Alligator mississippiensis: one gene and its partners. The protein of the gene in region 1 interacts with the protein of each later gene in a pairwise test. Links are inferred from orthologs where the notes say so. Each region holds a gene or a part of one and is shown in the gene's direction. Other genes may lie near its edges.

Evidence for each region. The genes of interacting proteins can lie anywhere in the genome.
Region 2: the proteins of SETDB1 (region 1) and TSC22D1 interact in a two-hybrid assay, tested with the Homo sapiens proteins (2 studies listed by BioGRID and IntAct). The link is inferred for Alligator mississippiensis from reciprocal best matches to the Homo sapiens genes SETDB1 and TSC22D1.
Region 3: the proteins of SETDB1 (region 1) and MBD1 interact in binary tests that used the Homo sapiens proteins (3 or more experiments, as listed by UniProt). The link is inferred for Alligator mississippiensis from reciprocal best matches to the Homo sapiens genes SETDB1 and MBD1.

What each region holds. Positions count from the first base shown.
Region 1 is NC_081838.1:19,311,724-19,319,366, forward strand, and holds the start of SETDB1 (histone-lysine N-methyltransferase SETDB1), read left to right. Parts: upstream 1-4,633; 5' UTR 4,634-4,648; coding exon 4,649-4,838; intron 4,839-5,187; exon of another isoform or gene 5,188-5,332; intron 5,333-5,930; coding exon 5,931-6,147; intron 6,148-6,873; coding exon 6,874-7,034; intron 7,035-7,643. Other genes in the region: CTXND2 (cortexin domain containing 2), read left to right, coding at 3,670-3,843. UniProt on the Homo sapiens protein: Histone methyltransferase that specifically trimethylates 'Lys-9' of histone H3. H3 'Lys-9' trimethylation represents a specific tag for epigenetic transcriptional repression by recruiting HP1 (CBX1, CBX3 and/or CBX5) proteins to methylated histones.
Region 2 is NC_081824.1:410,614,818-410,622,640, reverse strand, and holds the start of TSC22D1 (TSC22 domain family protein 1), read left to right. Parts: upstream 1-4,813; coding exon 4,814-7,692; intron 7,693-7,823. UniProt on the Homo sapiens protein: Transcriptional repressor. Acts on the C-type natriuretic peptide (CNP) promoter. Acts to promote CASP3-mediated apoptosis.
Region 3 is NC_081831.1:27,516,345-27,524,244, reverse strand, and holds the start of MBD1 (methyl-CpG-binding domain protein 1), read left to right. Parts: upstream 1-4,890; 5' UTR 4,891-5,260; coding exon 5,261-5,308; intron 5,309-7,900. Other genes in the region: CXXC1 (CXXC-type zinc finger protein 1), read left to right, coding at 1-1, 191-398, 615-725, 1,453-1,502, 1,776-1,872, 2,321-2,473, 3,161-3,307. UniProt on the Homo sapiens protein: Transcriptional repressor that binds CpG islands in promoters where the DNA is methylated at position 5 of cytosine within CpG dinucleotides. Binding is abolished by the presence of 7-mG that is produced by DNA damage by methylmethanesulfonate (MMS).

The sequences.
Region 1 (7,643 bases):
CGTTTGCACAGTGACCAGTGCTAACATTGAGGGGCACCCTGCAGCGCCCTTGAAAGGACCTCAAGATACCCCACGGTGTCACAGCACCATGGCTGAGAATCACCGCTGTAGGGGAATTGTTAGCAAACAACCTGATACTTTTGTGTTTAGAACAGAATTTCAAAAATAAGGAAAAGTAGTAAGGCTAAAAGAAGGGCCATTTTCCACTCATTCACACAGAATATAGGGGCCCAAAATGCAACCATCACTGAAAAGAATGGCAGATCAATAACAAAGTCACAAAAGAATACCCAAAGCTTCAAATCAAAAGATTTCATCAATAGTCCAAAGCATTGAAGCCTGCTCCGTGCATCGACACCAGTGATTCTCAACTGTACTCTGGGGTACCGAGAGATCCTTTTAAGGGTGCCACGCAGTATTAGCCCTGGTAGGCATGCAAACACTTACACACAACGCACACCCAGAGATTTCAAATAGGAATCCATTAGTGTCACAAATGCTCTGCCCTGCTGTGGGCTCTCTGAGTTCTCTGCACCACAAGAATTGCTCTAGCATTTTTCTGGCATCAAAAACGAGTGAGAGCAAAAAGCTGGCATTTCCCAAGGCAAGGTGGTAGAGTCTAAAAAGGTAGAGAACCACTGATCTACACCCAACAGCTTTGCCTGCCAGGCTCTGTCAGGAGTACAAAAAGAAAGACACTGCATTCACCTAGGCAAAGGTAAAGAGAAAATGCAGTCATAGAGCACTCAAAAAAATTCCCTTGGTAGCATGGCTTATTTCCTCCCACAAATGGGCATGAGCAGTATTCTTTTACAGCAATAACCCACAGCTGGACCAGAATGGTTTGCTATACAGGCCTGTTCTTTCCAGTGTAGGCTAGGCCTAGATTTTGGTGGTAAATGTTCGATTTGTTTAGTAAAAGGCTCTGTTATTCACTGAGAAAATTTAGCCTGTTATGGGAAGAGAGGTAGGTAGATTCATGGGTCTGAAGTAGCAGCTACGTAGCAGAAGGCAGGGCAGAGATGCACCTTACAGACTAACTGAATCAGAGAGGCATCAGCTTTCATGAGCAAGAGCTCATACAGCATCTGATGAAGTGAGACTGTATGCATGAAAGCTGATGTCTCTCTGATTCAGTTAATCCAGTGGGGTCAAATGAATGGCAGACCTGCCATAAGGTAAGTCATACATCCTGTCACTTGGATCCTCTTCCCTCGCTTGATCTGCTGCTCTGCTCCCAAGACATCGCAAAAATGTGTTTGAACAGATGGCCTGGGATTATATAATTGAATCAATGGCAGAAAAGCAGCAGTACATTTAGCTGCTCACTAAACCCCAGTGGAAAAGGTGATGTGTATTCGTGCCAATCCCAAGACAAACATGGGCAAAACATGTTCAGGGACAAACGCAATGCCCGTTCCTAGCCTTTATGGACCTCTCGCGCTTGTGAGCCTGCAACAGTGCCTCAGATCCTTCACACCACATTTGTGCATTGCCTTGTAATATAGAAATACAAGCCTGTTATCTCGATTCCAGCAGGTAATGAAGCTTATTGGCACCTGCATGAACCTAATCCTGTCCACATGCCCTAGCCAAGCACCTTGAACTGACATCACAGAAAAGGGGTTGCGAGAGATCCTAGGAAAGTCAGGCTGGAAGGGACCTCACAGGGCCACATCTAGTCCAGCCCCCTATTCGAGGCAGGAGCATCCCTGACTAAATAACCCCAACCAAACGTCTGTCCAACCTGCTGTTGACAACTTCCAAGGATGGAGACTCCACTACTTCTCTAGGCAGCCTGTTCCAATGCTTCACCACCTTCAGAATCAGAAAGTTCCTCATTTCTGACCTCAATTTCCCCTGCTGCAGCTTGAGGCTGTTGTTCCTAGTCCTGTTCCTTTTTTGTTAAGATCAAAAGTATCCATTAGATCAGGGGTGTCAAATATATGGCCCATGGGCTCCAGCTCATAGCTGGAGGGGCTGAGAAGCTGGGGGCAAGGCAAGCCAAGTGTGGGGTCTGCTATACCTCATCTTGGAGGTGTTCAAAATGCGACTGGACAAGCACCTTGCTGAGCTTGTCTGAGCCCAATAATTTCCTGCCCACGATGGGGGACCGGACTTGATGATCTTGCAGGTCTATTCCGGTCCTTCAATTCTATGATTCTATCACCCAGCACTGCCGACCTGCCAGTCAGATCCAGCCCAGTGCATGGGGTGTTTCAAACCCCTGCAATAGATCATCTCTTCTGAGCTTTGGCATTACATCCTGGAACTCCTGCAGAGATAGCAACACCTTTGGCGGCTTAACTTGGTCTTCCATCAAGGCTCCAGTCTTGATCAGAGCCTCCCTCCCCAGCTGTTGGTCTCAGGGGTCAAGCGCTCTCACTGTTAAACAATTTGCCTCATCTCTATCTGGAACATGCCAGCATTTAATAAACCAATGCCTGATAACATGATATTGTCCAATTCAATCCAATCTAATCTGCTAAGGATTGCCAAAGAAGCCCTAGTTATAATTAAGGATCAAGGAGATTTAGCAACAACATCCAAAAGAGAGCCAAAGTCCATCACCTGCCTGGGCTTCCCCAGACTCAGCCCTGGATGCACTGCAGCGTTACCAGGCTCACTGCTCACCTCTGGCCCTGGGGCCGCAAGCAGCTAAGTGAAGGAGCATCTTGAAGGCTGCTCTAATTTACTCCAATTCTCTCCTTGACAAAGGGGGGGGGGGGCAGACAGCTGGAGCAGGAGAGGGCACAGGGCCATAGCCTAGCGGGTTGCAGATTGGTGAGAAGCTTCCCACTCTGCCACTTTGAACTCATGATGCTGTTCCCATCATCCATCTCCCATCATCTCAGCCACCTTCCCTGCCCCCTGGTAACCCATCAGGGAACTTCACCTGTTCCTGAGCACCCATGCCCAGAGATAAGTGCTAAAAGACAGGGTAGAGTTGTACCTTGTAAGCCAAGTCAGTGGTTCTCAAACTTTTTAGATGCAAGGCACCCCTTGACAGGTTTGAAGCCCTGCTCAAAAAACACCAGCTTTGTTTTCACTAATTTTTTAACTAAGGAAAAATACTAAAGCAATTCTTCTGTTGCAAAGAACCCAGAAAGCCCACATGAGGGCAAGACGTTTTTGATGCTCTGGATTCTTATGCGAAATCTCTGGGTTTATCCTGTGAATCACATTTGTACACAACAGTGAGAACATTATGTAGCACCCCACGGCATCCTTGAAAAGATCTCAAGGCCCCCCCCAAAGTGCCATGGCACCCTGGCTGAGAATCACTAGACCAACTAAATTAGAGGCATAGTGGGTAAGGGTTGTCCCTTGCCAAGAGGCTGGGCATGTGGCTGGCACAGCAGGCAGGGATCCCCCAGCCCCCTGGGAGCTGCTTAAGGGGATGAGCTCACCATCCTGGGAGTAAGTGCAAGGACATGCTTCTCACCTGGGGCTGGAGATAATGGACAATGGAGACAGCAGGCACTGCCACTTAGCACTGCCACAGTGCTCCCATTCCCATGATGAGCCAGGCTGTGGCAGAGACCTGATGCTTCCCTGGTACAGCTGTGCCCCACTCAGCAGTGCTAATTCCCCATCCCCTACTGTGCCCTGCAGGCAGCAACCAGGCCCCAGGGGCTGCTCCAGGCGTGAGAGCGCCTCCAGGGCCCTATGGAGAGCGCCACCGTGCAGCCGTACGTCGACGTAGACAAGGGCTTCGCCATCGGCTTTGTCGTGCTCATGTGCCTCTTCTTGATGGCCATGATGGTGCGGTGCGCCAGGCTGGTGGTGGACCCCTACCGTGCCATCCCCACCTCCACCTGGGAGGAGGAGCAGATCAACTGATCGGCAGCCTACACAGGTGGGTAGTTGGCAGTCAAGCTCCGTGAAGTGAGCTCTTCAGGCTCCTGCCATCCTGGTCATCCCTGTTGCTACAGCAGAGCGATGATCCCCTGCTTTCAACTCTGCCTGCAGTTGTGCTGGCTTTGAGGACGAAGCCTGCAGGGGAGGATGTCATGATGCCAGCTTTGTGCCATCTTGGGGAGGTGAGCATCCCCTGCCACAGCAGCCTGATGAGGTGGGAGAAGCTGGGGTCCGGGCAGGGTGCAGGGACCTGGTGCCTTCCACCCTGTACTACTGCACCCATTGCAATGGGCAGCTCTGCAGGAGGTGACCGGCATCCTCCACATGAGGGTCTCTTCTTTCTCCGCACACAGGGCTCAGGTACTGCCCCATGCCCATGATGCAGGGGCTACAGAGGCTTGCAACCCAGGGCATCTGGGCTGTGGAGTCCAGACCACTCAAGCCCATGGAAGAGACCCTGCAGTACCAGCAGCAGTAGGTTGTTACTCCAGAGCGGACCAGGCTCTACAGCAAGGGCAGGACGCAGCCCCTCCGGGAACCTACCCTGGGGTCTGGCATTCAGTCCTCTCCCGTGAATGGTCCCCAGGGACTTCAGGGGAGGTGCCCGAGCTGGCCAGCCAGGAACTAGTCCTGGAGTCCATTCCTGGCTCTGCCACTGACTCACTCTATCACCTTGAGCCCCAAAGCCTCCACCCCTACACTGCCCCTTTAAGAAACCTCCTCTCTCCGATCAGACCGACCGACACCAAACATAGCTGCTACACCTTTAACTAGCTGGCCTAAGCGCATGCGCGCTGGCGCCGCGGAGGTATTTCCGCCCGAGAGTGCCTGTGTAGTGCTGTCCCCTGCTTTCGCGGCCGCCTCTCGAGGGGAGGTTTGGTCCGCTCGGGCCACCGTCGCCGGAAGTGGTGTCGGGGCCCCTCAGTGCAGCGCCCTGGAAAGGAGCCCGGCCCTCGCCAGCCGCGTTGCAGGGAGCGGTGAGCGCGGCCGGGGGCTGCGGCGGGGCTGGCGGAGGCCGGGGGTATCCGCTGCAGTGGGCTACGGACGGGGCCGGGGACTGTAGGGCACCCGGAGGAACTAGGAGGCGGGGCTTGGGGCGGGACCTAAGGGGTGGGGCGGGGCTTGGGGCCAGGGGCCTGTAGGGGCAGTTAGCGGAAACGGGGCTGCGGGCGGGGCCTTTAGCCAGGGGCCTGTATAGGACAGTCAGGGACAATAGGGGGTGGGGCCTAGTGTCAGGGGGCGGGGCTTGGAGCCAGGGGCTGAAGGGGGCAATAGGAGCCTGGGAGTAGGGGGCAGGGGGCTTGGCCAGGAGGCTGCTGAGGGTGGAGAGGGCACAACGGAGGAGGCAGAGGAGAGGGAGGGGAGACGCTGCCCAAGCTGGGACTGACTTCTGCCGTGCCCCCAGCTCTCTCGTCTGTCTGCCCACCCACTGTGGTAGGCGTCTCCCTGGCCGCTGCGCTGGCGCTACCAGGTGCTGCCCGCACGGAAACGCAGTGTTTCTCCATAGGACTCCAACCCGCTCCAGGGGCGCCAGGTGCTGCTGTCTGAGCTGTCACCTGTGTGATGTGCTCAGGCACCGTTTCCAAAGCAGCCTCCATAACTCCTGAGCTGGAGAGAAGCTTTGTGCTGTGTAATGGCATTAGATACGTTTTGATTTCTTGGCCACAGATCATGCAGATCTCAGATCAAACTATTCAGTCACATGAGACATTGCAAGCCATCTGCATCATAGGCTGCAGCATCCACTGTCTCTCGTAGATGAAAGGATGCCGTAAACATAAAGCAGACTTCATGGCTTGTTCCATCAAGTTGCTTTGAGCAGCAGTTTGCTTTCACGCAGCAGCAAGCATTGCCAGGGCAGGCAGTTTTCACCTAAATAAGGTGTCCAGGTAACCAGGCTCATAGCTTTAAGTGAAGCACTTATCTCTTCCCCATGAGTGAGTTGAGGAGGCTGTGTGGTGTACTCAATACAAGAGAGAGAAAAAAATACTAAAGCTGCAGATCAGGGAATGTACAACGTGGTTTGGAAAGCTCACGAGCCTCTTATCTCCTCCTGGCTTCACTCTCAGCAGAAATGGATTCCCAGGAGATTGGAGAGCTGCAGCAGGAAGTGATGGAGGAGCTGGGCATCTCCATGGAAGATCTCCAGCAGTTCATTGACGAGGAGCTGGAGAAACTCGAGTGCGTGAAGCAACGAAAGAAGCAGCTGGAAGAGCTGGAAAAGAACGTTAAGCAGAAAGAGGCAGAAGTAGCTCACGTGGACCAGCTCTTTGATGACGCCTCAAGGTGGGCAGTGGCGGCTTTGTGCTGGTGTCTGGCGGAATGGGCAGAGCAAGGACTAGGGTGTCTGGACTCAAAGGGCGTTTATACACATGCTCAGGGGAAGCGCTTTAAGTGGAGCGGCTACAAGCGTCGCTTTAATTAAAGTGCCCAGAGCATCTTGCACATCAGTGTCCCTGTGCTTAAAAATGGTGGCAGGGCACTTTATCTAAAGCTTGTCGAATGAGCCCCTGCCACCATTTTTAAGTGGGGGGACACGGATACATGAGATGCTGGAGGCTGCTGGAGTGCAGTAATTACCATGCTCCAGCAGACTCAATCCAGTCTACTCTGATGAGCTATAATTACAGCATGTCAGAGCAGCCTCACTGCTCGTATGTAGGCACCCCCAGTTCCTATTTCCTGCTCTACCGCTGACTTTTTTGGCAGTATTCCTGCAGCCAGACTTTTCCAGGAGGGGTTCAAGAACCATGTGGTGCGGTATTCAGTTGTCGACATGCGTAACTCTCAGAGATGGATGGCTAAGATCTTTTTGCCGTGGCTTTGAATCTCCAGTTATGATTGAGGCTATGTCCTATTTCTGCTGAGTGATTTAAGGGAGCACCAGCTGCTGAGTAGCCCCAGATGCTGCTATGCAAAAATGTCTCTTCTTTTTGTGATTACTGTAGAGATAACAGCTGCACTCACCATGGATCTGTCTCTGCTTCCTCCTTTTTTCCCGCTGTACCGCAGAGCCATCAATAAATGTGAGGTGCTGGTAAAAGATCTCTACTCCAAGCTAGGGCTTCAGTATCGTGAGAGCAGCTCTGAAGATGAGGACTCGGCTTCCAAGCCCACGGAAGTGATTGAAATTCCAGACGAGGATGATGATGATGTCATGAGCGTGGATTCAGGTTGGAAATGCAGTTCTGTGTTCCCTATGGCGGTGGGGTTTGTGGGGAGGGAGATGTGAAGGAACAGTCTGCTATACACTGGCACCACTGTTCCTCACACCCGGGAGGCTCAGAAGGAAGGCTCCCTTGGGGCAAGTAAATAGGGTGGTGCTTGCAAAGTCAGTGCAGCCTGAACAGAATGGAAAGCTCTTACATGAATCCCTCTTACCCAGCCTCCTGCTGCTCCTGGTCTTGCTAAGCTGCCTCCAGGATCCAGTGGCCAGGGGGATGTTGAGTCATCCCAAAGGTGTGGCCTGTTGTTGGGGAGCGGAGAGGGCAAAATGGGATAAAGCCTTACATCGCCAAAAAAACTTTAAAAATCGAGGAAGAATCTGGACTATGACCTGCTATCCTGAGGGCTCAAATTCTCTTTGAAGTCAGTAAGGAGTGCAAGCATTTGGCTTCGCCTTTGTGTTAAAGCTTCTGTTTATAAGGGCTTCCTATGGCAAGGAGGTAGCTGAGTAGCCATCACCTCTGCTCAATAAACTAGAACTCCTTGGAATGCCAGGTTTTAACCCTGGAAGGATTCACTCAGCCTCCAGTCCTTCTGCATGTTAAGTGGCATGCATT
Region 2 (7,823 bases), on another chromosome or scaffold:
CCAATGTTAGCCTGGCAATGTCTGGACTCATGCTAAAGGCAGTTTCATAGTTTCATAGTTATTAGGGTTGGAAGAGACCTATTAGGTCCCTTCGAGTCCAACCTCCTGCTCTGGGCAGAACAGAGCACTGGGGTCAGATGACCCCAGCCAGGTGTCTGTCCAATCTCCTTTTGGATATTTCCAAGGAAGGGGACAACACCACCTCCCTTTGTTGACCTAGCTGTAAATGGGTGCCTAGACATTCTAGCTGTGAAGTTAAAAGTAGACAGATATAATGCTACTCATATCGCTCCTTTGCATGCCTTTGCCTTCAGAAGCAGGTGTGCCTTGATCACACTAACTTGATTGGCCCTTAGATTCAAGCAAACTTTTAACTTGGTATGGATGTATTAACATTGATATTTAAACTTCTATTTTTCTTTCAGTTTCTGATTTGCAGTAGCAAAAGTACCTCCTAAAATATAAAATGACAGATAGGATGTCTAACTGTATAGGCAAAAAAAAAAAATATTTAAGCAGTTATAACTTTAGTATTTTAAAGTGTTTTTTTCAAACTTACCCAATTTCTCATTGAGTAGTAGTACTTACATACAAAATTGGAACTTCAGTCATGTTCCAGTTATTCATGTACAGTTAAATGTTTTATTACTTGTAAAGTTGGGAAAAATGTTCTGTTCCTCACTGATCATGTATCTGAAAACTGAATAGTTGGATTCTAGTCAAACATTCAGAGAAATTGGCTTTGAGCTCAGACTAATGGAAAATTTGAGCCCATTGGAGAATATTTGAGAAAGATATAAGCACTCAGAACAGGAATTTATGATGGGCCGACTTGCAACCATAGCTGCAAACATTTATGCCCATATTTAAATTTCAGCATGTGAGCAGTGCTGTTATAAGAAAACACATGTGTGTTTTCCCCCTATCCTACAATAAGCTGCCTGTGGACAGATCCTGCACTTTTTGTGAAGCTTTGCTGTAATCAGCAGAGTTCCATGCAGATTGTCTTTCTGTGACGAGTCTAATGCAGGCTTAAATGTTAGGTCTTAATATATTTTTTTCCTTATGCAGACCTGGTCTATACAGGGAAGCATTTGTAAATGTGTATATTAAGTATGTCCTGGGTATGACCATAAGCTGCATCCAACTGGAAGTCTGGTGGCAATGTGGTGGGGCTACTCGTGTGGGGGTAGCTCCTATAAAATACCACAACGCTGCAACCTCCAGAGTAAGGCAAGTATAGGGCACCTCAAAACCCTAGCCCCCACTGCCTTGTGGGCACTCCTTGGTTGGAGAAAGGCTAAGGGACATCACCCTGACAGAAGTGCGCCCTCTATGAAGTGTTAGGCAGTCAGCAGCAGTTCTTATCTGTTGCTCTCTGGCAGAAGCTAGTCATCAAGGCACTAAATGTCTGGACTCAGTTTGGCCTTTGGACGCTGTCTTAGTGGTCTAAAGAGGGGATGGCAGGCCTAGGGCAGCCTCCACTCCTCCATACTCTTGCCAAGACATGTACGTCGAAAGTGATGGTCGCAGGACTCCATACAAATGGATTCATCAGGCACCTGACTAGACCTCTTATGCGTACACTATGATCTAGAGGATCCACAGTTCCCTACTATTAATAGTTTTAAAATTCAACTGCCTTGCCTACAGTAAAGGTAAAACCAAATTTAACATGATGCTACTTAAATGTATTTTCTAACCTAATGCAATTTCCCATATATAGACAAAGGATGAGGTGCAAGAATGAACATAGGCACTACAATGTGATCAAGTGCCTAACTTGTATGGGCTGTGTCATCTAGTAGAATCCACTGTCCTCACTTGATTGCCTACGTTCCTTAGATGCATCAGAATGAGATCCACAAAGCCTGCCTGCCAAGCAGAGATCTCTGTAGCCTACAGCATGGAGGGAAAGATCTTTACCATCCAGGCTGTGTATAAAGAAGCAGATCATGTCATCTTCACATAGAGCAAGATGGTAGGAAAAGTAAAGGTGACAGATGGACGGGGAGCAAGTGCTCCCCTTTTTAGGTACTTAGTTAACTCCAGGATTGTGGGGGAGTTCTTTCCACTTGGGATTCACGATTATGAATCGTCTTCTAAAGTAATGCACATAAACCAGCTCCTTTTCACAAAACATATCTGGAAGAGGAAGTGGTGTCATTTCTCCTTTTACAACAATACTCAATAGCTCATCAAGGGTATGGGAGACAAATCCTTCCTCTGCCTGACAGGTCTTGAACCTAAATATCCTACAAGAGTGCCCTTGACATTCAGTGATGGTCTCCCCTGTTGAAGCTACTTATTTTGCATGGGATGCTTAAAAATTCAGTGGAACAGGGATTATACCCAAGCTCCTTCTCATCCCCAGTGAGCACTCTAACCACTGCAACAGAGAATATTTCTCTCACGCTGTCATCTGGATGAATTAATACTTAATTATTGCATGTAGTATGGAACAGCTTCAACAGGAAGGATTGGGCTTTCCCTCATCCCATTCCAGAATATTTTCTAGCCTGGTGGCTAGGATTCTCTCCTGGGAAGTGAAAGATATGGCTTCAAATCCTCTCTAGTACAGGAGATTTTTAAATTTGTTTCCCACATCTCACTGGATTACTGGGTAAAAGGGAGGAACTTCTTCCTCTGTCTGTTTTGTGCAGAGGCCAGTTTGATAGGGTTGATCTAACTACTAGATCAAGTTCCATAGGCAGGGCAATGTATAGATTGTGAAATCTGAGGGTCCTAGCTGGTTGGCACCGTAGGTACTTAAGAAACTTTACTGGCAAAGTATTAGGCTCCTAGGGGCTGCAGGTGCCGCTAGGGTTACATGGTAGCTGAATGAGAATTTTGAGGATCTAACCATTTTTCCTTTGACACCAGAAGTGACACTTAGGCACCAGAGAGTCCTTGTGTAAATGTAGACCAAAGTCATTGTGGGCATATAGTTGGGCGCACTCATCTTCAGCTTTCTGTTTGTATAAGAACACGGAGAGCTTTCCTCCTCTGTAGGTTGCCAGCTGTATCCACCAAGCAAAATACAAAAATGATTTCCCTTCATAGTTTAGACATCTCTTTAATTGCATCACCAGTAAGATGCAAACTTATTGCTCTGCTGCGTTTTTACAGGTATACCTGCTGTTTCAAGAAGAATTGATACATACTGCATTTTAATACAATGGACTTAAGCCACTTGAAAATAGCCGCATGTCCATGTTGGGTTTTTTTGTTGTTTTAAAGAACGCCTACCGTGAAAAGCAGCTTTGAGCATCTAGAGCAACTGAGGTTCTTCAGGTAGATGTGATATCTTTTATTAGATCAACTTTTATTAGTCCCTTCCAGCCCTAATGTCTATGAAACTTGTCTACAATAAAGGTAAAACCTATGAAACTGAATAGCATTTGATCATGTCATCCTTCACATCAAACCCTATCCACTCTGCAGCCCACAGCACGGCAGGAAGGATCTTTACGGTCCGGGCTGTGTCTAAAGCAGCAAATCATCAAATTGTACCAGCTCTGTAGCCTAGGCACTGATCTTTACCATCCAGGCTCTGAACAACGAGTTGATCTTGTACTAACAGTATGCTGGTATGGAGGAACAACTGAATTGCAAACCCTCCGGGGGGGGGGGGTGTTTTGTAATTCTCTTAGAGTTGGTTTCTCCACCTGCTTATGCTTCGTTCACGTCAGGTGCGTGGAAGTGGGTGAGGGTCCTGGGCTGGACTTCAGAAGCTCTGCCCCTAGCCCCTGCCTCCCAGCCAGCCTCCTGGAAGCAGGAATCACTCTAGAAACATCTCCCCTCGCTGCAGCGCCCGGCTCTCCCCGAGCCAATGAAGGCTGGACTCCCCCCTCCCCCAGCCCGCCCTGGGGACAGCGCAGCGAGCAGCCACATGGCAACTGCAGGCGGCTGCACAAAAGAGGCACGCGCGGGTGGAAAAATACAGCCCTGGCTCCCGGCTCAAGTTTCTTCTCCCTGACCGGGGGGAGGCAAAAAATAGCTTGAAAAAAACAGGCAGCAGAGAACCCGCATCTGCAACCGGAGACAGAGGGGCACACGAGTCGGAGTCATGCTGCAGGCAGAGGGGGGAGGGGAAGAAGCACCACCCCCACTGCAGGGGCGCGCCGAGCTGCTGGGCCACTCCGCTAATGGCCGCCGCGAAGCCCCGCCCCTCACCCGGATTGGTTGGCGCGACTTCGTCAACGCTCGGCCTTTTCCGCCGCCCGCCGTCTCCAGACGGGCTTTATGTCTGCGGGCCCCGCGCGCCTGCGCGGCCGCCATCTTAGATCAGCGCCTCCTCCTCCTCCCCCCTCCCAGCCGGCCCAGCGCCGTCCTCCAGCGCCGCGCGCGGAGCTGGGGGGACGCGCCGTGACAGGGAGCGAGCCGCCGGGCAGCGCGGCAGGCTGGAGCAGCCCGCTCGGGGCGTCTGCGCAGGCAGCGGCGCGGAGAAGGGGCTGCGCGGCGCGGCGGGGCGGTGCCGCCCCCCCCTTCGGTCTCTTTAAAGGCAACATGACTCGGCTCCATGGCTGCCACTGACGGCGATGCCCCTGCCCGGCCCCGGCCGCCCGCGCCACAGCCAGGCCCGTACGTATCCGCCCCGCCCCGCCCCGCCCGGCCGCGGCCTCGCTGCTCGCCCCGGGGGCGGCTCGGCCCGGCCTGCGCGCGCGCGCGTGTGGGGGGGGGGGTGGGTTGGGGGGGGAGGGGTGTGTGTGCGCGCGCGGTGCGCCCCGTGCCAAGCTAACTGCGTGCCTGTCTGTCTCTCCGTCTCCGTGTCTCTGCCGGGGAACCGCGCTCCTAAAATAACCCCGCTACAATGCGCCAGCCTGACTCAGCCGCAGACAGCAGCAGCAGCAGCAGCAGCGCGAGGAGGAAGATGGCGCACCCGGCGATGTTCCCTCGAAGGGGCAGCAGCAGCAGCAGCACCACTGGTAGTGGCAGCGTCCCCCCTCCCAGCGCCGGTGCCGGCGGTGTTGCCCTCTCCGCGGAGGAGTATCAGCCACCTCTGCTGGGCCAGCCGCTGCTGCCTGCGTCTCCCGCAGCAGCGTCTGCCTCGCCGGGTCCCCAGCCGGCACCTCCTCCTCCACAGAGCCTGAACCTCCTCCCGCAGGCACCGCTCCCGCAGCAGCCTCTGGGCCAGGCCGGAGCACAAATGAAGAAGAAAAGCGGCTTCCAGATCACTAGCGTGACCCCGGCCCAGATCTCGGCCAGCATCAGCTCCAACAACAGCATAGCCGAGGACACGGAAAGCTACGACGATCTGGATGAGTCCCACACGGAAGACCTGTCATCTTCCGAAATCCTGGATGTTTCGCTCTCCAGGGCCACTGACTTGGGGGAACCCGAACGGAGCTCCTCTGAAGAGACTTTAAACAACTTCCAAGAGGCTGAGACTCCAGGGGCTGTCTCTCCAAACCAGCCTCACCTTTCTCAGCAGCACCCTCCTTTGCCTCACCCTGCCCAGCAGAGCGTTGTGATCAATGGGAGTGTTCACCCGCATCACGTTCACCACCACCATCCCCTCCATCACCATGGCCATCACCATCCATCTGCTCCTGGAGTGGGCAGCACACCAGCCTCTGGAGGACCACCTCCCAGTCCATCCTTTAGAAAACTGTCCACAACTGGAAGCTCTGACAATGTTATAACAACTGCACCAGTTTCTGCTGCATCATCCACTGGTAGCCCGGCATCTGTCATGTCCAGTATCCGCACTACAAGTACTCCTGGCAATATAGGTGTGAGTCCTGTTACTGGAACTAGTACGTTAAGTAATATGGGTGGTGGTAGCTCTGGTGTGACGAGCGGCATGGCTGGTACTGTAAATTTAAACAACATTACAAGTACTGGTAACGTAAATGCTTTGTCTGGAACTGGCAGCAGTGTTAATGTGAATATCTTGAGTGGTATTGGCAATGGTACGAGTGCTTCCTCTAATGTCATTAACAATGTTACTAATCCAACAGCAGGACTGGGATCAAGTCAGCAGCAGCCTGCAGCTGGCACGTCAAGGTTTAGAGTTGTAAAATTAGATTCCAGCTCCGAACCTTTTAAAAAGGGGAGATGGACATGCACTGAATTCTATGATAAAGACAACACTGTTGCAGTTACAGAAGGAGTAGCAGTAAACAAAGCGGTAGAGACTATAAAACAAAACCCACTTGAAGTGACTTCTGAAAGGGAGAGCACCAGTGGGAGTTCTGTTAGCAGCAGTGTAAGCACACTGAGTCACTACACAGAAAGTGTGGGAAGTGGAGAAATGGGAGCACCTACTGTGGTTCAACAGCAAGCATTTCAAGGTGTGGGTCCACAGCAGATGGATTTTAGCAGTGCTGGTCCTCAGCCTATTCCAGCATCCAGTATACCACAGAGTGTTTCTCAGTCACAGCTTGCTCAAGTCCAGCTGCATGCCCAAGAAGTAAACTATTCGCAGCAAAAGCAAGGGGTCCAGCCTCCTGTGTCGGCCAGCCTAACCACCGTTACTGGAGTTCAATCAACCCCAGTTAATATAGTAGGTGTATCTTCAGCTTTAGGCCACCAACAACCTGCCATGCAGAGTATGGCTCAACAACAACTACCATATTCTCAGCCAGCACAACCTGTGCAAACTTTGCCAGTTGTACAACAGCAGCAATTACAGTATGGACAACAACAGCAGCAACAACAAGCAGTTCCTACACAGATGGCCCCAGGGCTTGTTAAACAAGTGAGTCAAAACTCTGTTACAGGGACTATGCCAGACTACATGCAACACCAACAGATACTTCAGACTTCAGCACCTGCCATGCAGTCTGGTACTACAGCAGTAGGAACAGGCACGCCAGTTCCTGTTGCTCAGGCACCAAGCATGCAGCCTTCAGTACAAGCACACCCTGCCGTGACACCAGCCCAGCCTGTTGCACATGCTCAAACAGCAATGCCAGCGGTAGGTACTAGTGGTCAGATTATGAATGTTGGACAACAAGTAAGTGTACCTACAGTTGTGCAGCAGGCACCTGGTGCAAACCAAATTCCTCCTTCAGTTATGCAACCAAGCACTGCTCCTCCAGCTTCACAAGTGGTGCAGCCTGTTCAGACTGGGATAATGCAGCAAGGACTACAGTCTGGTGGCCCAAGCCTTCCTCAGCAAATGATCATTGCTCAGCAAAGTACTTTGTTACCTGTACAACCACAGGCACAGGCCGTAGAATCTGTAGCGCAAGGAATGACCAGCCAGCAGTTGCCTGCAGTTAGTCCTATACCTTCTGCTAGTACTGTTCCTGCTCCAAGCCAACCTAGTTCAAATATCCCTCCTGGTATACCTTCTGCTTCTATAAGTATGGGTCCACCACACAATATAGCACAAGCTTCAACTGTACAAAATGGGAATTTGGTTCAAAGTGTTGCTCAGCCTTCCGTGATATCAACAAGTATAGGTATGCCAGTAGCACCAAGTGTGCCGCAACAGGTACCACTAAGCTCCACCCAGTTCCCTGCACAGTCACTAACTCAGTCAATTGTAAGCCAAATTGAAGATGGCAGGCGCCCTACAGAGCCTTCCTTAGTTGGTTTACCTCAAGCTGCTAGTGGTGAAAGTGGTGTTGGAGCATCAGGTCTTTCAGATGGGAGTGGCAGCAGCATAACGTCCTCTGCTTCCCTTTTTCCTCTGAAGGTACTGCCGCTGACAACACACCTTGTTGATGGTGAGGATGAGAGGTAAGAACATGTCAACTTTACAAATGGGCTATATATCCCTTTTGTATATGTTAACTAGCAGTTGCCATGCAACTATGTCACAAAATGAAGTACAATATTGTATGCACAGTTTTAATACTTTTATTTTATGG
Region 3 (7,900 bases), on another chromosome or scaffold:
AGTAAGCCCTGCCCCCCCCCTTAGAGAAGTCCCCACGCCCCTGGGCTCCCCTTTTTATGTCTATCTCTTGCCCCTTCCCTCTGTAGGGGAGGTGGGGGGTCCACCTGGCTTTGAGGATCCCTTGGATCCCCCTCCATTAGCTAGCCCAGTGTCCAGCTCCTGATGCTTCCCCCTGCTCCTTCTCCCTCAGCCGAATCTATGAGATCTTGCCGCAGCGCATCCAGCAGTGGCAGCAGAGCCCATGCGTGGCTGAGGAGCACGGCAAGAAGCTGCTGGAGCGCATCCGGCGGGAGCAGCAGGGCGCCCGGCTGCGGTTGCAGGATATGGAGCGCCGCTTCCATGAGCTGGAGGCTGTCATTGCTCGGGCTAAGCAGCAGGCTATCAAGGAGGATGAGGAGGTGGGTGTATGCCTGGACACCAGGGTCCCTTGCCCAGGATAGGTGGGGGTGGGGGGGGAGTGGAGGCTGTAGGGTGAGAGCAGGAGGTCCTGGGAGCCCAAACATGTGAGTTCTCTGGGAAGGGAGGAGGAGCCTGGGACCTTTGATCAGGTGGGGCTGGGATCTCAGATGCTTGGGTTCACCTTCCATTTTTCCCTCCCTCCCCATCTCCCCCAGAGCAACGAGGGGGACAGTGAGGACACGGACCTGCAGATCTTTTGCGTCTCCTGTGGGCACCCCATCAACCCCAAGGTGGCTCTGCGTCACATGGAGCGGTGCTATGCCAAGGTACTCTGTCTTCTGCATTATACTTGGCTGGTCCGGGTGCTGCACCCCAGAGCTGGCCGCATCTCGGCCCTCCCTGTGCAGCGTTATACCTGGCCATTTCCCATCCATTCCAGCCCAGACCTGGGAGCATCTCAGCCATCCCTATGCAGTGTTCTCAGCAGTTCCACCCCACAGCTGGCCATATGTCAGCCTTTCCTATACAGCATTATACTCCTGTTGTTCCCAAGCTGTCCCACCCCAGAGTTGGCTGCATCTCAGCCCTCTGTATACAGTATTATTATTCTTAGCTGTTCTCTGGATGTTCCATCCCAGAGCTGGCTGCATCTCAGCCTTGCCAGTTCAGTGTTAAACTCTGCTGTTCCCTAGCCATCCCAGCCCAGAGCTGGGCACATCTCAGCCCTTCCCATGCAGTGTTATACGCAAGTGTTCCAGCCCAGAGCTGGGCACTTGGCCTTCCCAGTGCATTGTTATATTCAGCTATTCCCCAGCCATCCAGTCCCAGAGATGGCCAAATTTTAGCCATCCCTGTGTAGTGCTGCATTCGGCCTATCCTCAGCCATTCCACCCCAGAGTCAGTTGCATCTTAGCCCTCCCTACACGGTGTTATGCTCAGCTGTTTCCTAGCTGTCCTACACCCCAGAGCTGGTTGCATCTTGGCACTTGGCAAGGCCCCTGTAAGGTGTCCCTTCCACTGTAACCCCCACTCTTTGCTCACCCTTCTCTGCAGTATGAGAGCCAGACGTCCTTTGGATCCATGTACCCCACCCGCATCGAGGGGTGAGTTGGGACCACTGGGGTGTGTCCAGCATATTCTTTTCCCAAGGGCTATGTGAATTCTGGTTGTTTGTCTTCCCCAACTGCCCCCATCCCACCAAGCCCAAACTTTGGTTCCTACCTACATTACAGTGTTCCCCTCTCTACTGCTTCTCATTTCCTTTCAGATGCCTGGGGGTTCTCTGGGAGGGGAACAGGGGCTGGGAGGTATGAGCTGGGAGCTTGCTGGTCCCATGGAACCCCTCATCCATCTGTCCCCTCTCTCCATGTCCCTAGGGCCACCCGCCTGTTCTGTGACGTCTACAACCCCCAAAGCAAGACGTACTGCAAGCGGCTGCAGGTGTTGTGTCCCGAGCACTCCCGTGACCCCAAGGTAGAGGATGGGGAGCTGAAGGTTGAAAGTGAGGGGCACCATGGGGGGGGGGGTGGTGAGTGTGTGTGTGTGGGGGGTGCTGTGGGTTGGTAGTGAGGGCCACTGCAGAGCCTTGGAGGGGGGGTCAGGAGTGAGGTGGCCACCATGGGGCTGGGGGCAGTAGAGGCCTGTGTGGGGTGCAGCACTGGTTGAAAGGTGAGCAGTAGAGACTATAGTTGTGGTTGGGGGGGAGGGGGTGACACTGGAGGGGTTGTGGGTGGGGCCAAGGGTGTGGGTGGGGCTTAATAGATTGGGTATAGAGGAGTGGGGCTGTTGCAAACCTGTAGGCAGGGCCTGAGGTGGGCTGGGAAGGAGGGAGGGATGGGGATCATTGGTGGGGCCTGGAGGTGGTAGGTGGGGCCAGCAGTTCCCTGACCCTCTCCTTTGTCCCCCTTCCTGCTCCCCCCAGGTGCCCGCGGACGAGGTGTGCGGGTGCCCACTGGTGCGGGACGTCTTCGAGCTGACAGGCGATTTCTGCCGTGTGCCCAAGCGCAAGTGCAACCGGCACTACTGCTGGGAGAAGCTGCGGCGCGCAGAAGTTGACCTGGAGCGTGTCCGTGTGGTACGGCCCACTGGAGTGGGGGAGGGGCAGGGCTTTGGGAGTGACTGTGTGGTATGGACCACTTGCGGGGCCTGGCCTGAGATTCAGGTGGTATAGCCCAAATGGAGGGGTGGGGCCTTGGATTGGCTACTTGGTAGAGCCCACATGGGGTCGGGGAGGTCTGGGGGATAGATCTATGATACAGTCCATGGGGTGGGCCTGGGATATGGCTTTGTGGTGCAGCCCACAGGGTTAGCAGGGCTGGTGTGGGGATGTCTGTATGGTATGGCCTACATGGAGGGTGGGGCCAAGGGCACAGCTTTGGGGTATGGTTCACACCTAAGGGCAGGGGCTGAGGATGGTCATGTGGTACAGCCATATGGTACTGCCCATGGTGGGGGTGCTCAGGGTACAGCCTGCCTGGGGGGATGGGGCTTTGGTTTATGGGCCCAACAGAGGGTGTGGCCCAGATTATGGTTGCTTGGTATGGCCAGGGCCATGTGGTATGGCCCATATGAGGCATGCATGTGGTACAGCCCGCAGAGGGTCAGGTCTGGTGTAGCCACTTTGTCTTGGCTGGGGGGGCAGGGCCTGGATGTCGACTAGGTGGTACATCCCACAGTAGGGGCTAGACTATACACACTTGGTACAGCCCATGGGGCAGGAGAGCAGGATCATGGGCATTCACCCTCCCTCCTCCCCTCACAGTGGTACAAGTTGGACGAGCTGTTTGAGCAGGAGCGCAATGTGCGGGCAGCCATGACGAACCGGGCAGGGCTGCTGGCACTCATGCTGCACCAGACCATCCAGCATGACCCGCTCACCACTGACCTGCGCAGTGCTGCCCGCCGCTGACTGTGAGCTTGGGGCGGGGGCTGGGCACAGGAGGGGGGGCACTGAAAACTTGCCTTCTCTATTCCCCTCATAGCTACCCAGGGCTGCCCACTCCCACCCTCCACCAATAAGCCTCTGCCAACTCCCCACAGGCCCCTGCCCCCCCCCCCATGCACCACTGCCAACCCAGATCTGGGGCCTTTGTATGCAGTGTTATAATTAGCCATTCCACCCCAGAGCTGGCAGCATCTCGGCTCTTGCTATGCAGTATTATATTCATCCATTTCCCAGCAGTTCCTCCCCAGAGCTTGGCTACATCTTGGCCCTTGTTATGCAGCATTCTACCTGGCCATTCTTGGCTGTTTTATGCCAGAGCCAGCTGTGACTTACCTTTCCCTTTTGGTGTTACGCTCAGCTGTCCTACCCCAGAGCTGGTTGCATCTTTCCTTCCCACACGTGTTGTTACACTTGGCTGCTTAACCTCAGAGTCAGCCACGTCTCAAGCTTTGCTATACAGTGTTATACTCCACTGTTCCCAAGCTGCTCCACCCCAAAGCTGGCCGCATCTCAGTTCTTGCTATGTAGTGTTGTACTGAGCCGTTTGCAAATTGCTGCACCCCGGGGCTAGCTGCATCTAGGCCCTTGCTATGCAGCATTATGTCTAGGCATTCCTCAGATGCTGCACCCTAGAGCTTCACTGCATCCTGTCCATCTCCATGCAGTGTTATGCTCTGCCAGTCCCCAGCTGTTTTACCCCAGAGCCAGTGGTGTCTCAGCCCTCCATCTGGGGCATTAAACCCATCCATTCCCATCTGCACTCCAGAGCTGCCTGCATCTCGGTTCTCCCCATGCAGTATTATACTTGGCTGTTTCCTAGCTCTTCCACCCCAGAGCTGGCTGTATTCCAGTCCCAAGCCCCCTCTGACACCCCTCTTTCTTTCTCCCCTCAGGGTCCCTGTGAGGTGATGCCGGGTGCTCGAACAGCTCTGATCCTTTATTTTTTTAACTCAGTTTTTCTTTATACTTTTTTTTCTCTTCCTCTTTCTTACAAATTTTGAATAATAAAAAAAAGGAAGTGGTGGTGGGGTCTGAGGGGGGAGCAAGGTATTTCCCCCATCCCTACCCCTGGCCTAACTGGGGAGAGGCATGAATGACTACTGCAGCCCTATCCTTGTCTCTGCCATAGGAAGAGCCTGAGCTGGGCCCCTGTTCCCCCCTGTTATGAGGGGGCTGATTCCTAGCCCAGGGGACAGGGGCAGGTATATGCCCCCATCACCTGCACTTTGGGGGGAGTGGATCTCTGGGTCCGTGCTGTTTCTAAGTGCCCTCCTGTCCTCCTCCTGGCATTGGGGGGGGGGGAGAGGCAGGGGGTGACCCTAGTTAATAAAGTTGGCCAGTTAACGAGCTGCCTTGGGTCTGTGTGTTGGGGTCTGGGGGTAGTGACCCCCTGGGGAGAGGGGTGTGTGTAGGGGAGCACTGGAATGTATGGGGATTATACTGGGGAGTAGGGGACACTGGTGAGGGCGGGGGCAGGGGGACATGGAAAGGGAGGTTGCCCTCCCCATGCTCCCATAAAGGCACTGTGGTGCCTGCCCACTGCTACCGCCCACTAGCCCGCCTCTTTGCTGTGGGCGTGGCCTGGGTGGAAAGCCCTGCCCCTTTCCCGTCGGGGCCCGTGTGCATTCCCACCTCTCCCAAGGGTCACGTGCCCCATATCCCCGGGTCAGGTGTTCACGCTGAGCCTCTCGTTACGTCACTTGCTCGGCTCCTCCTCCGCGGGTCACGTGGCCGCACCCGCCTCTTCCCACTTGCTCCCCTTCCTCGGTCTTGCGCGGGCGCCGCTTCCGCTTCCGGCGCGAGCCTCCGCAGCCGCCTCTGCACCCTCCCTTCCCCCCGCCCCGCCCCTCCCCTCCCCGGGGAACGCTCGCGCGCGGCGGCCGTTAACTGCCCGGCTCAACCACAGTGGGCACGGCCATGGCGCGGAGGCGGCGGGGGCCGCTCGGGCCGACGGCCCCCAGAGCGGTGAGCGGGTGTGAGGGCAATGGAGGCGCAGTTGTGGCGGACGGTTGGGGTGCGCCTGGCGGCCGCGGGGAACTGTGAACCGTGAGGAGGTGGGGGGCGGGGTGGTGCGTGGGGGCCTGTGGAGAGTCGATAGAGGCTTATTGAGCGGGGGGGGGGGCTGTGAGGGGGATGGAGGAGGCGGATGTCGAGGGGGCGCTGGGAGGGGAAGCCCTTGGGTCGCTGTTTGTGGAGTGGGGTGTGATGGGCAACTGGGGGAGGCAAGAATTGCTTGGCTACCCTGGGGGCTGTGGGTGGGCAGGGGAAGAGGTGTTGTGGGTACCTGTGAGGTGTACATAGAGGGTTATTGTGAAGGAGGACAGGTTAGGGGCTGTGCAGGCAGTGGGGGGCTGGTGAGCAGTGCTGGGGGCCTGTTTGGGGGGAGGTGCGCATGTTTGGCAGCCCTGGTGGGCTGGGGGAGCAGCTCTGGGGGTGTGTTTGGCAGTTCTGGAGGAGACATGATGGGGGCAGCTGTCTGAGGGAGGAGTGAGGTAGGGGCTGTTGGGAGGGGGGCAGGTTCAGCAGATGTGGGGGGTGTGAGGGGAAACAGGACTGCTGTGTGGGGGTGCTGTAAGGAGAAGCTTGGGGAGGGGGGGGCAGTGAACATCTGGCAGCCTGGGGGAAGTTGTGAGTGAGCAGAGGCAGTTCTGTGTGTGAGGGTGTCTAAACTCTTCCCCTCCCCCAGGCCCTGACCTGCCCCCCTACACACACCTCCTAGCACTCCTGGTCCTTGGGGGCTTGGTGTATGAGGGGGGAGGGGTGGGGGCAGTTAGGAGTAGTTGGAGGGTTGTTGGGGGGGGGGCAGGTTCAGCAGCCCTGGGGGGGGGTTGAGGGGCTGCAGGTGTGTGTGTGGGGGAGGGTTGGGGACAGGTGTGTAGGGAGGGGAGCTGTAAGGAGCAGCTGTGGGGGTGGCTGTTTTGGGTAGCGGGAGCATGTTTGGCAACCTGGGAAAGGGGGGGGGCCTTGAGAAGTAGATGGGGGCTGGTTGGAGGGGAGGGGTGTGTTTGGCAGCAGAGGGGGGGCAGCGGAGGGGGAAGGGGCAGTTGTGTGTGTGTGTGTATGTGTGGGGGAGAGGTTTGGGGGCAGTTGTAAGGAGGCTGAGAGGAATGGGGGGCAGTGCCAGGGGAGAGGGCAGGTTTGACAGCCCTGGGGAGCTGAGGGGGGTGTGTGTGTGGGGGTTTAGCTGCCCTGGTGGGAGAGGTGTGGTGGTGCAGTTTTACTGGGGGGTTTGTGGGGGGTACTCTTTGTGTGTGTGTGTGAGGGAAGAGCAGGAACAGTCGCTTGAGGAGCTGTTGGAGGGCAGTTATTTGGGGCAGGAAAGGCTGAGGGGGGGGCTGTGGAGAGGAGGGCTGGGGCTGACGGGGAAGGGCTCTGTGGGGCAGGAGGACAGGTTCAGCAGCCCTTGTGAGGACGGGCAGTTGTTTGGGGGACTGTTGGAGGAGGAGCATGTGTTTGACAGCCCTTGGGGTGGGGGGTCTGATGTGGGGGGCAGCCGAGGGTGAAGGGGTTGAGGGACTTGGGGGAGGGGCTTCATATTTGGCAGCCCTGAAGGAGAGGAGGGACCTGAAGGAGGGATGTGATGTGAAGCACAATTGTGTGTGTGTGTGTGTGTGTGTGGGGGGTGGGGGCTGTGAGGAGCAGGTTGGGGGGGAGGGCTTTTAGGGGAGGGGGTGCATGTTTGGGAGGGCTGGGGGGTGTGAGGGGGAGGGGTGGTGGCAGGTGCTGTGAGGAACAGGACTGGGGGTAGTTATGGGAGAGCCTTTGGGGGGATGGAGGGGGTACATGGGGAATTGTAGGGAGAGCTATTGTGCTGGGGGAAGGGGGCAATTGGGGCTGTGAGAGGTGGGGAGTTGTGGGGGGTGGGGTGCAGACTTGTCAGGGTGGACGGAGGCTGAGATGCAGTAGGTTTCTGGCAGTTGCCTGGTGGGGATGGGTGTGTGTTTGGCATCCCAGGAGGGTTGTGGGAGCAAGGACATGTAGCCCTTGGGGTGAAGAGGGAAGGGAGTGGGTAGCCTGGAGGGTGTTTGGTACCCCTGGGAGAAAGGAGGGAACAAAGGTGGGGTGTGGGACCAAGGTTTGGGAGGTACAGAGGAGGGAGAATTGAGGCCAGACAGCTGCGGGGGTCTGCCCAAGGGCCAGGGGTGCTAGGTGGGGTATGTGTGTGGATGGGAGGGGGGTGGCAGTTCGGGGCCTGGGGGCAGGGCAGAGTTCGGGGGCAGGACACCGTGGTGGTGGTGGTGGTGGTGGTGGTGGTGGTGGTGGGGGGTTGGGCTCAGCCCTGATCTGGGCCAGGAAGTGCCTGCCACTGAGTCTGTCTAGGGCTGTCTTCTGTCCAGTGAATAAGGGCTGGGGCCTGGGGGCACTGCTGTGGGCTGGCATGGGGGTATGTATGTGGGTGGCTCCATGGGGGAGTGCTGCAGATTTCCCCCCCCCCCACAGATCCTTCCCCGTGACCCTACCCGCCTTGTTTATCTCCCTTCCCTGCTGAAGGGGTGGGGCTTGAGCCTTGGAGTCCTGGTTTTGCCTGGGTGTGGGTGGGTTGGAGGGGCAGGGTCT